Caenorhabditis elegans: one gene and its partner. The protein of the gene in region 2 interacts with the protein of the main gene of each other region in a pairwise test. Each region holds a gene or a part of one and is shown on either strand. Other genes may lie near its edges.

Region 1 (4,166 bases), on a different chromosome or scaffold from region 2:
CAAATTAAGTTTTTTGAGGATATGTTCCAAGAAACTGTTTCTCTGTTTACTTTCATTCCTACTCATTTTTAGTTAGCAATTTGAGAACTTTGTATTAATGGAAACCCAAATCGAACAGATCTACTACATATGATATTTTCGTAATTTGAATTAGCAAAACTCTTTCAGTAGGGATTTATGGAAATTGGAACGTTCGAGAGAAACCAAGCTATGCTAAACCTTTAATTTTTGCCAAGTTGCTTCTATTGCTTATTTTTATAATTTTTTAAAATAATTTGGTCCAGTTTTCAGCGTTTTTTTGATAACTACAGAAATTTTCACTGTGAAATTCAATTTTTTGGTTTTATTTCAAGTCCATCAAAACAAACAAATCCACAATTAGTGTCGTGAACCCGTCGTGAACCCGTGTCGTGAGCATTCTCGATGTTCCAAGTTTCATACGTTTTTTGCAACATGCTGAAATAGACAACATTCTTCTTTTGTATTATAGATTGACATTGGTAGTCTTCAAACTCAAAAAAACCTAAAGGTGGAGTAGCGCTAGTAGGGAAAGAGTGAAAAACTATTCCTATGGTTCCAAAATGACCGAATAGCATAATAAAATGTTTCAAAATTTTTTTGAAAACTTTTTTTTTGTTTACTGTCAAAATGTGAAAATTACTCAGTTTTTGCAACTAATTTCGGAAGTCGACCAAAAAAAGTTTGTTCCTACATTTTTTATCATACTGTAACTTTGTTTTAACTATTTGTAATAGAATATTGTAGTAGTCGGAACATTCGACATAGTTATGGATTTCCTCAAAACTCACATTTTTTTCAAAATTTTGACAACTTGCCAAAACTTTGACCGGAAACTAGAAAACATCTAAAATTTGTTGGAGTTTTTTCTTATGATATTCGGTTGTTTTAGATCATTATAAGTGCATTTAGACGAAATCCCCACTGGTGCTACTCCACCTTTAAAGGTTCGGTTATTTCACATACCTGATACACTTTGAAAAATGTCAAGTCATAAATTCCGTTTATCATTATTGTTTTGGTTATTTAAAACATCAAATAACCTTCTAGTAAATATTATTGTTCAGGCATGTATGATAAAAATCTTGAACAATTTGCTAACGATCTGATTGGAAAATTAATTAGCTTTGATTTTCCAATCTTTACCAAAAAAAAACCAACAATTTAAAGTTATTATTATTTCCACGAAATAAAAATGTTTTCGAATTTTTTATATTTCCAGACGTAAAAAGAAAGTTAGCTGAAACCACCTGTTTCTTGCCAATAAATCAGTTTTTTTTTTAAATATTCACAAAAAAATCATTTGAAAGTTTGAAGCTTGTTTCAAAACATTTTGAGTGAAGCTTACTAAACAAAAGTTTTTGAAAAATGAAAACACGTCACTTTTGTGTTCGCATATACGTGATTCACCGTAAACTCCACTTTTGTAAAACTACGAAAGATACTGGCTGAAATGATAGGAAAATTCGTCGAAATATTTGAGCATCTGACTGTAAGTTGATAACGATTATACGAACTAATCACCGTTTCCATCTGCTCAAAACTCGCTGACTCACAAAGAATTTTAACAGAAATTAAGAAATGGCTCTATGTCAACTTTCAAAATTCTACAACGCCCAACTTGAGTTTCTTATCAACACTTTATTTTTTGGTCTATCTCTTGACTGAATCATACCGAAAACGGTTACATGACGTGTCGAGGAGTTCTACTGATACGAGCAAGCAAACGCTTTATTTCTCTCCACCTCTTTACTTTAAAACTAGCCTAACTCTTGTATATAACACACATTTTTCATATTTTCTATCAAGTTCACGCCGTCCCATCGACATTTAAGGTAAATATTTGAGTGTTCAATCTTATCTATGAAGCATTTTTTTCATTCCAGTTTGTGTGACATAGCACGTTGCCATTCCTTATTTCTTGAAAACTAGTTCGGGTTGTGAAATTTTCTTCCAAAATTGGTCCTTTAGTAATGTAACTTGATACATCAGGTTTTGTGAAAATATTTTGAATGCTTCAAACGACGTTTGTTGTTTTATTTTTCACTCTCCGAGTATCTAAAATCTATTCAAAAATTAAAAAAATCCGTTTTGACTTTTTGCATCTAGTTTTATCACTTCTTCCTGTGTCCCTCCCAAACTTTTACAGCCCAGTTGGCAATGGCGATAAGAAAAACACTGTTTCTGCCCACTTTGAGCATTTATTTCATCATTTTCATATTTTGGTTAAGATGTATAGTTGTCAAATGTGCAGGCTATTTTAGTATTTTGTGCTGTCGTCATTCTTACATTGAAGTGCATTCTCATTCCGTAACTAGGTGGTTGCATAGATGCCACCATGTGTTTGTCTGTCGTCAATAGAAATTTCCATATTTAGGAGAAATTGTTTTCATACTTTTTTAATACTTTTTGTCCGTCAATCTTCTGAAAAAAATATTAAAATTAAAACCATATGTTTCAGGTTCACAATGTGTCTTTCCGGACTCACCCAAATTCTCTATGGACTTATTATGGCTGGTAGTGCTATTTTAACAGCAGTTGCTTTGTTTACGCCAAGTATGTTTCATCTTTGGAGATGTTAGAAAAAGTGAATTTTCAAACTCTCAGGTTGGAATACTGTTGAAAATAATGTGAAAGATATAACTCATATCAACACATCTGAATGGAATGGCTTGATGCCTTGGTCATGTATTGGTCACTCTCAGGGAACCCAGTGTCAGGATTGGTGGGCGGTATGTTGATGAAATTATTTATATGCTCAAAAATACTGTTTTCAGAATCTTCCAGGATGGATGAAATGTGTCGTCGTCTGCATGATCCTCTCTTTGATTGTCCAAATTTTTGCAGTTGTCTACAACTTTTTGACATGGTTAGATTAGCGAAAGCCGACATTAATATAATTCAAACAACTTTCAGCCTTGCCTGCTGCTGCAAGAAATATATCATCCATCCACTCACCCTCTTTGCAGTCATCTCTACTATTCTTCTGCTCATCGCTGTTATTGTTTATGCAGCTGAATGGAATCAATTTACAAATGGAATTAATACAAACTCGCAGGTGAGAATGCTATTCTTAATGTGGGAAAAAGTGTAAAATTATTTGATTGAAACTATTAAACTTCACTAAAACTCTTTTTTTACACATGTTCTAACCCTTTAAAACCCGATTATAAAGCTTTGAGAAACCCTCCCTATCTCACATTGAACAACTTTTTGGCCAATCTGCACATACCCTAAGGCGCAAAAGCTGCTCATAAACCTTTGTTTGTACAAACTCACAACTTAATTTTTCAGCTTGGATACTCGTTTTGGCTTGCAGTTGGAGCCCTCATCTTATCTGCGGCGGATGTCATTTTGGGAGCACTAACAGTGTGTCTTGGGGAACACTGCTGTTAATTAAACTTGATTATATTTATTATTTCCCTGCATTTTCTGTGATATAAACTGCTCAGCCCAGACGTCGGCACCAATCTATTTGTTAAAGCTTTGTAAGATTTTGAACTTGGTTTTTCGCATTTAACGCCGAACTACACTGAAAAAGTGCAAACAAGACTGGCAAGATGGGGACGGCAAAAAATGTAACGGTTTTGTGTTTGTAAAAGGTCTTTTGAACTGTGGTAAGACATGTGAATATGTCTGTTCTTAGTGACACACTGACGTGTCACGAAGATCAGGAGCAATTTTTGTCGATTTTTTTCGACTTGTTGCTCCCAAGTTTGCGGCGTGGGAGGCATCACTACTGAGGCTCGGTCAAAGAACATAGTCAATTATTTCACAGTTTCTTAAGAATTTGAAAAACGCGCGCAGCGAGAAAGATCATTAGTTGAACTCGGAACATAATATGTTAGATGAAATGTAACAATGCCAAGTGTTTGAGCAAAAATTGAAAGATGTATTGTGCAACAAAGGTTGAAAAAGTGAGTCATTGTAAACATTTTGATAGAAGTAAAGATTGGTGAAAATCTTTAGATAGTGACATGAATTCTAAAAAGTTGTTTTTTCTGTGAAAGCAACTGACTGACAATTCAATATATGACTATATACAATATACATATTCCGCTTATTAAAAATGTGTTTTTATTTTATTTTGCACTATTTTTTTAAAATAAACATATTTAAAAATTTGTGTCAAATTAATAGTTTTTATT
Region 2 (5,073 bases):
CCTTTAATGCACGTTTTGGCATTTTATTACGTGTAATTTCGTTGGCAGAGATGTTTTTTGGCCAATAGGGACGCATATATGATACAATTTTGCGTCCTCATTGGCCAAAAAACCATCTCAATCAACGAAATAACAAGTAATAAAATGCCAAAAAATGCATTGAAAGATGACGATCAAATAAAAATTAAGATCCCCAACCGCTGCGACTCCGAGAAGTTGCCGAAATTCGGGGCTTTAACTAAAAATATGCCATTTTTTCGAAAACTTTGAGCGGCCATAACTTTTTTTTTGAAAAATTTTCAGAACGTCTCATTACGAAATTTGGTAGTTTTGGATTATTTTGGGTCTAAAAAAAGGAAAGTCTCAAATTTCGGTACTCCACCTTTAACTTTTTATAGTCTTGAAATTCTGCTCTAAAATTGATTGGAGCTTCAAAAAAAGTGAATTTGAAAAAATCGCTCAGTTTCCTGGGTTTCGGCCGAAAATTTTACAATTTTTGCCCAGAAAGCTCGAAAATATCTAATTTTTAATGGTTTTTTTTAAAGTAAAAAACTTTCGACGAGAGCATTGGTTTAAAAACTAGATACAACTTTTTTACTCTTTTTTTTTACTCTTGTTTGTTAAATCCCGATTTTTCCAAATTTTCGGCTAAAAAACGAACTCTTTCATTAGGTGTTCCACTATTATTAAACATAGCCATCGTAGACTGCGGGCCCGTCGACACTGAAAAGTACAATCGAACTCCTTTGGCAGTAGTTGCAACTAGGTTAAGCGCAGCCGATTGTGAAGCTTCCAACGCCTTAATCGATGTAATACTGTGAAAAGATGTCTCATCGTGACCGAATTGCGTCAGAATATGAGCTTCATGTGCAATTTTCGAGATGGGAACACTCAAAAATTTGGCACAAGCTGCTCCATCCGCTCCGAGATCCCAGACACTGACGGTGCCGGCTCGGCCGAGCAAATACATGATATTTCGGGATTTATCGATTGTAATCTGATCGAGGGGCTCTTTTGAAGAGCCGAAGAATGGTAGAGAGATCAGTGTTCCGAGAATTGATGCAGTTTGATTTACACCTCGACACTTGTGATTTGTGGAGCCAAACCATCCGTTTTGTTTCTCGTAGACGAATTCGAAGAGTTGATCGTCGGCTGTATAGAATACTCGACCATTTGAAGTATACGAAATATCATTCACTGTTGCTCCGTCAAGGGCTATCTGAAAAAAAAAATTGGGGATTTTCTAGAGAAATTGCTGAAAAAGCTCAATTTTTGGAGTGTTTTCCAATGTAAAATTGCGATGAAATTCATATAAAAATTGACGATTTGGGGATTTTTATGATAATTTTGGCTTGAAATGGGTTTCGTTTTCAGAAAATATATTTAAAAAAAATAAAGAGTATCGTCTAAAACTAGTGATATTTTCAAAATTTTCGCTCATTTCAGAACAATTTTGGCTTAAAATTGAGCTTTTTAATGGGGATTTGCCAGATACAACATAAAAATTTGACGATTTTCTAGAGAAATTGCTGAAAATGGAAGATTTTTCTGGAAATTATGTGAAAAAATAAAATTTGAGCTCAATTTTAGAAAAAAAATAGACTTAAAAGGAGCGTTTTTATGTACTGGAATTATAGTAAAGTGCTGGAAATTTCAGATTTTTAAGGAAAATTTTGGCTTAAAATGAGCTTTTTTTTCAGAAAAATTAATGAAAAATTGAAGATTTCCGCAAAAAACTGTGTTTATTTTCAAAATTTTAAATTTTTTAGAAAAAAATTTGGCTTGAAAATACCGTTTTTGTGTTATATTGAAGTTTCTCGTCGAAAATTACTGTTATTTTCGAAATTTTAGCTCATTTTTGAAAAATTCTCGCAAAAAAAATTGAGCTTTTTAATGGAAATTTGCGATTTTCTAGAGAAATTGTTGAAAAGCTCAATTTTTGGGAAAATTTAGGCTTAAAATGAGCTTTTTTTATCGGAAAATAAATGAAAAATTGGAGATTTTCGCATAAAACAACACATATTTTCGAAAATTCGGCTTGAAATGAGCGTTTTCAACGACAAATTGTTCTAAAAAAAACGAATAAAAATTGAAGATTATCGAAATCCCCAATTTTTGGTTTGAAATGAGCATTTTTGATGTAAAATTGCTTTGAAGACTCAAAAAATTAGTCAGAAACTCGGATTTTCAAGTTTTCGAGTAGAAAAAAAAACAGAAAAGCGTTATCAGCAAATTTGAGCTAGAAATAGACGAAAAATCCCGTTGTTTAAATTTTTTTTGTCGATTTTTAAGTAAAAATCGCACGGAACATCGATTTTCCCGTGTTTTGAAGACTCAAAATCTCCAAACTTTTGCGATTTTTGATTCAAAAACTTGGGTTTTCTTGGTAATTCTTCCTTCTTTTTTCTCCATTTTCACTCGAATTTCGAACCTTGAAGCATCGTTTTGAGTCGATAGAAATGCTACTGGCGCCATTTTCCACGAAATCAAAGACCGGATAAAGACATATATCGGAAATTGTGCCGACAACGAGCCCATATTGAATTTCCGGCTCAAAAACGCCTGGCTTGATGTTCACCAGCGACACCTTCAGAATTGCAGCGTCTGATGAGTCGAAAAACGCCAAATCGTCGCTGAAAATTCGATTTTTTTTCGGTATTTTTCGGCTTTTCCGCTTACTTTGTCTCGTAATTCCACATATAGAGATTGTTATCAATGACGACCCAAACTCGGCTGATTTGTGTGAAGAATCCCATGCTAAACTCGCTGTGAATATCTGAAAATTCACCAATTTTTCGCTGAAAAACCCCCCCATCGGAAACAATGCTCTCTCACTGCTCATTTGCATTTGAAGCTCTCCGGGTATTGGGATTCGCCGTGTGCTCACAAACTCCGGCGCTCCCTTCACATAAAACTTCTCGCCGAGACCGGAGACGGGCGTCGTGCCGTGTTGTGTGAGGCGATCGAAGAAATCCGATGTCTCCATCATCTGCTCGACGTGGTGTGCCACCTTGTTCGCCGCCGCTTCTGCCGAGTCGGCCGAGCCCAACTCCATAAACGAGACACTCATCTCGGAGGATGGAAAGCTGCTGAAAAAGTCGGAAAATTTTGAGTGATTTTTGATATTTTAACCTTTAAACTTGAAAATTATAGCAAAAAACTGTAAAAAACCCGGAAAACTTCCCGCAAAACGCAACTTTTCGCGCAAAATTCCGAATTCAAATTGCAATGCGGCGCGGAAAAGTGGGCGGGGTCGCGTGTTGCAAGTCCCCCGCACACCTCATCGTGTACTCCTCTCGGACAAGCGCAACAGCTGACAATTTATTTTTGCGTGCAAAAAAAGTCGTTTGTTTGCAATTTCTCACCAGTTTTCGGAGATTTTCTTGATTTTTTGCGGTTGCGCATCGTAAAATACGTATTTAAAATGTGTAAACTTTGGCTCCAGTCGACAAGAAGCTTATGAGTCATTGCCTGGGAAAATTGCTCATCAATTTCCTCATTTTTACGAATAATTGGTGTTTCAATGCGTATAAAAACAAGAAATCGGTAAATTTAGTATGAAATATATTCGAAAATAAAGGTTTTAAGCGTATTTTTCAATTTTCTTCTACTAAAAACCGAACTTTAGCCTAAAAACCTGCTTATTCTGCTCGAAATTCTCGATTTCGCCATGTTTTCCAATTTTTTAACACAGTTTTTCAAAAAAATTCTTCATTTTTCCCATAATTTAGCCGAAAAACTCAACTATTTTGCCCTCTTTTTCCCTAAAACTCGCCATTTCCTACCAAAATTTGAAAATTTTCACTGTGTCCAATCGATTTTTCTTCCTAAAAGTACCATTTTCTCCAATGTTCATTTATTTTTCAGAAATTTTCACTAGAATTACTAGATTTTCTGTGCCAAAACCACGATTTTCAGCAATTTCTTTCTTTAAAATCTTATTTTTTGCCATTTTAAGGTACTTTTCCAACGAAATTCCTGATTTTTTGATTTTTCCACGCAAGTTTTGGCCGATTTTTAACTGATTTTCAGCATTTTTTCAGCCAAAAAAACATCCATTTTTGTTCATTTCCTGAATTTTTTAAATGGAAATTCCTTGATTTTCTTGGAAAATCACGCTAATTATTATTCAATTTCCAACTTTTTCATCCAATTTTCTGCCTATATTGACTCGTTTTCCTTTAAAAAATCGAATTTTCACCCGTTTTTTCACATTTTCAGCAATGTTTAGGTTGAAAATCATATTTTTATTCATTTTAAAATATTTTTTCCCACGAAATTCTTGATTTTTTTTTTGAAGATTTTTGCGTTTTCTTCTCAAAGATGGTGATTTTTGGCCGATTTTCATAAATTTTCGCTCTCAAAAACAAGATTTTAAGCATTTTTCAGCCGAAAAAACTTTCCCCTTTTATATAATTTTTCTTGATTTTTCGTCTTTTTTTTCTGGATTTTTAGGAATTTCTCGTGATTTTTGATGATTTTCCGTCTATTTGGGTTACGTTTTCCAGAAAATTTTCCCAACTTTGACCAATTTTGCGCGCCTAAAAATTCCACGTTTCTAAACAATTTCCCGCATTTTCAGAAATGACGACAAACGGGTTCGATCCATTCGAGTGGCGTTCATTCTACTTCCCAGGAATGAGCCGTGAAGAGGCTCACAAGTTGCTCGGCGAGCCACAAGTATCGATCGGCACCTTCCTAATGCGGGATAGCTCACGCCCCGGTGAATATTCACTGACAGTACGTGAAGCCGACGAGGGAAATGCCGTTTGTCATTATTTGATTGAAAGAGGAGAACCGAAAGAAGATGGAACTGCTGCAGCTGGCGTGAAAATCGCGAATCAGTCGTTTCCAGACATTCCGGCGTTGTTGAATCATTTTAAAATGCGAGTTTTGACTGAGGCAAGCCTGCTGGCCGCCTACAAGAAGCCTATCATTGAGGTTGTCGTCGGAACATTCAAATTCACAGGGGAACGAGAGACAGATCTTCCGTTTGAGCAAGGAGAGCGGCTCGAGATTCTTTGTGAGCTTTAAAGCAGCACTTTTTTGATTAAAGGTGGACTAAACCCTGTG

Evidence for each region.
Region 1: the proteins of npp-8 (region 2) and clc-1 interact in a two-hybrid assay, tested with the Caenorhabditis elegans proteins (one study listed by BioGRID).

Annotation. Positions count from the first base shown.
Region 1 is NC_003284.9:11,045,757-11,049,922, forward strand, and holds clc-1 (Claudin), read left to right. Parts: upstream 1-1,689; 5' UTR 1,690-1,853; intron 1,854-2,479; 5' UTR 2,480-2,486; coding exon 2,487-2,574; intron 2,575-2,625; coding exon 2,626-2,750; intron 2,751-2,795; coding exon 2,796-2,887; intron 2,888-2,934; coding exon 2,935-3,076; intron 3,077-3,312; coding exon 3,313-3,414; 3' UTR 3,415-3,519; downstream 3,520-4,166.
Region 2 is NC_003282.8:1,592,736-1,597,808, forward strand, and holds the start of npp-8 (Nucleoporin_N domain-containing protein), read right to left. Parts: upstream 3,090-5,073; 5' UTR 3,071-3,089; coding exon 2,836-3,070; intron 2,777-2,835; coding exon 2,680-2,776; intron 2,634-2,679; coding exon 2,432-2,633; intron 1,220-2,431; coding exon 662-1,219; intron 1-661. Other genes in the region: ced-2 (Cell death abnormality protein 2), read left to right, coding at 4,585-5,023.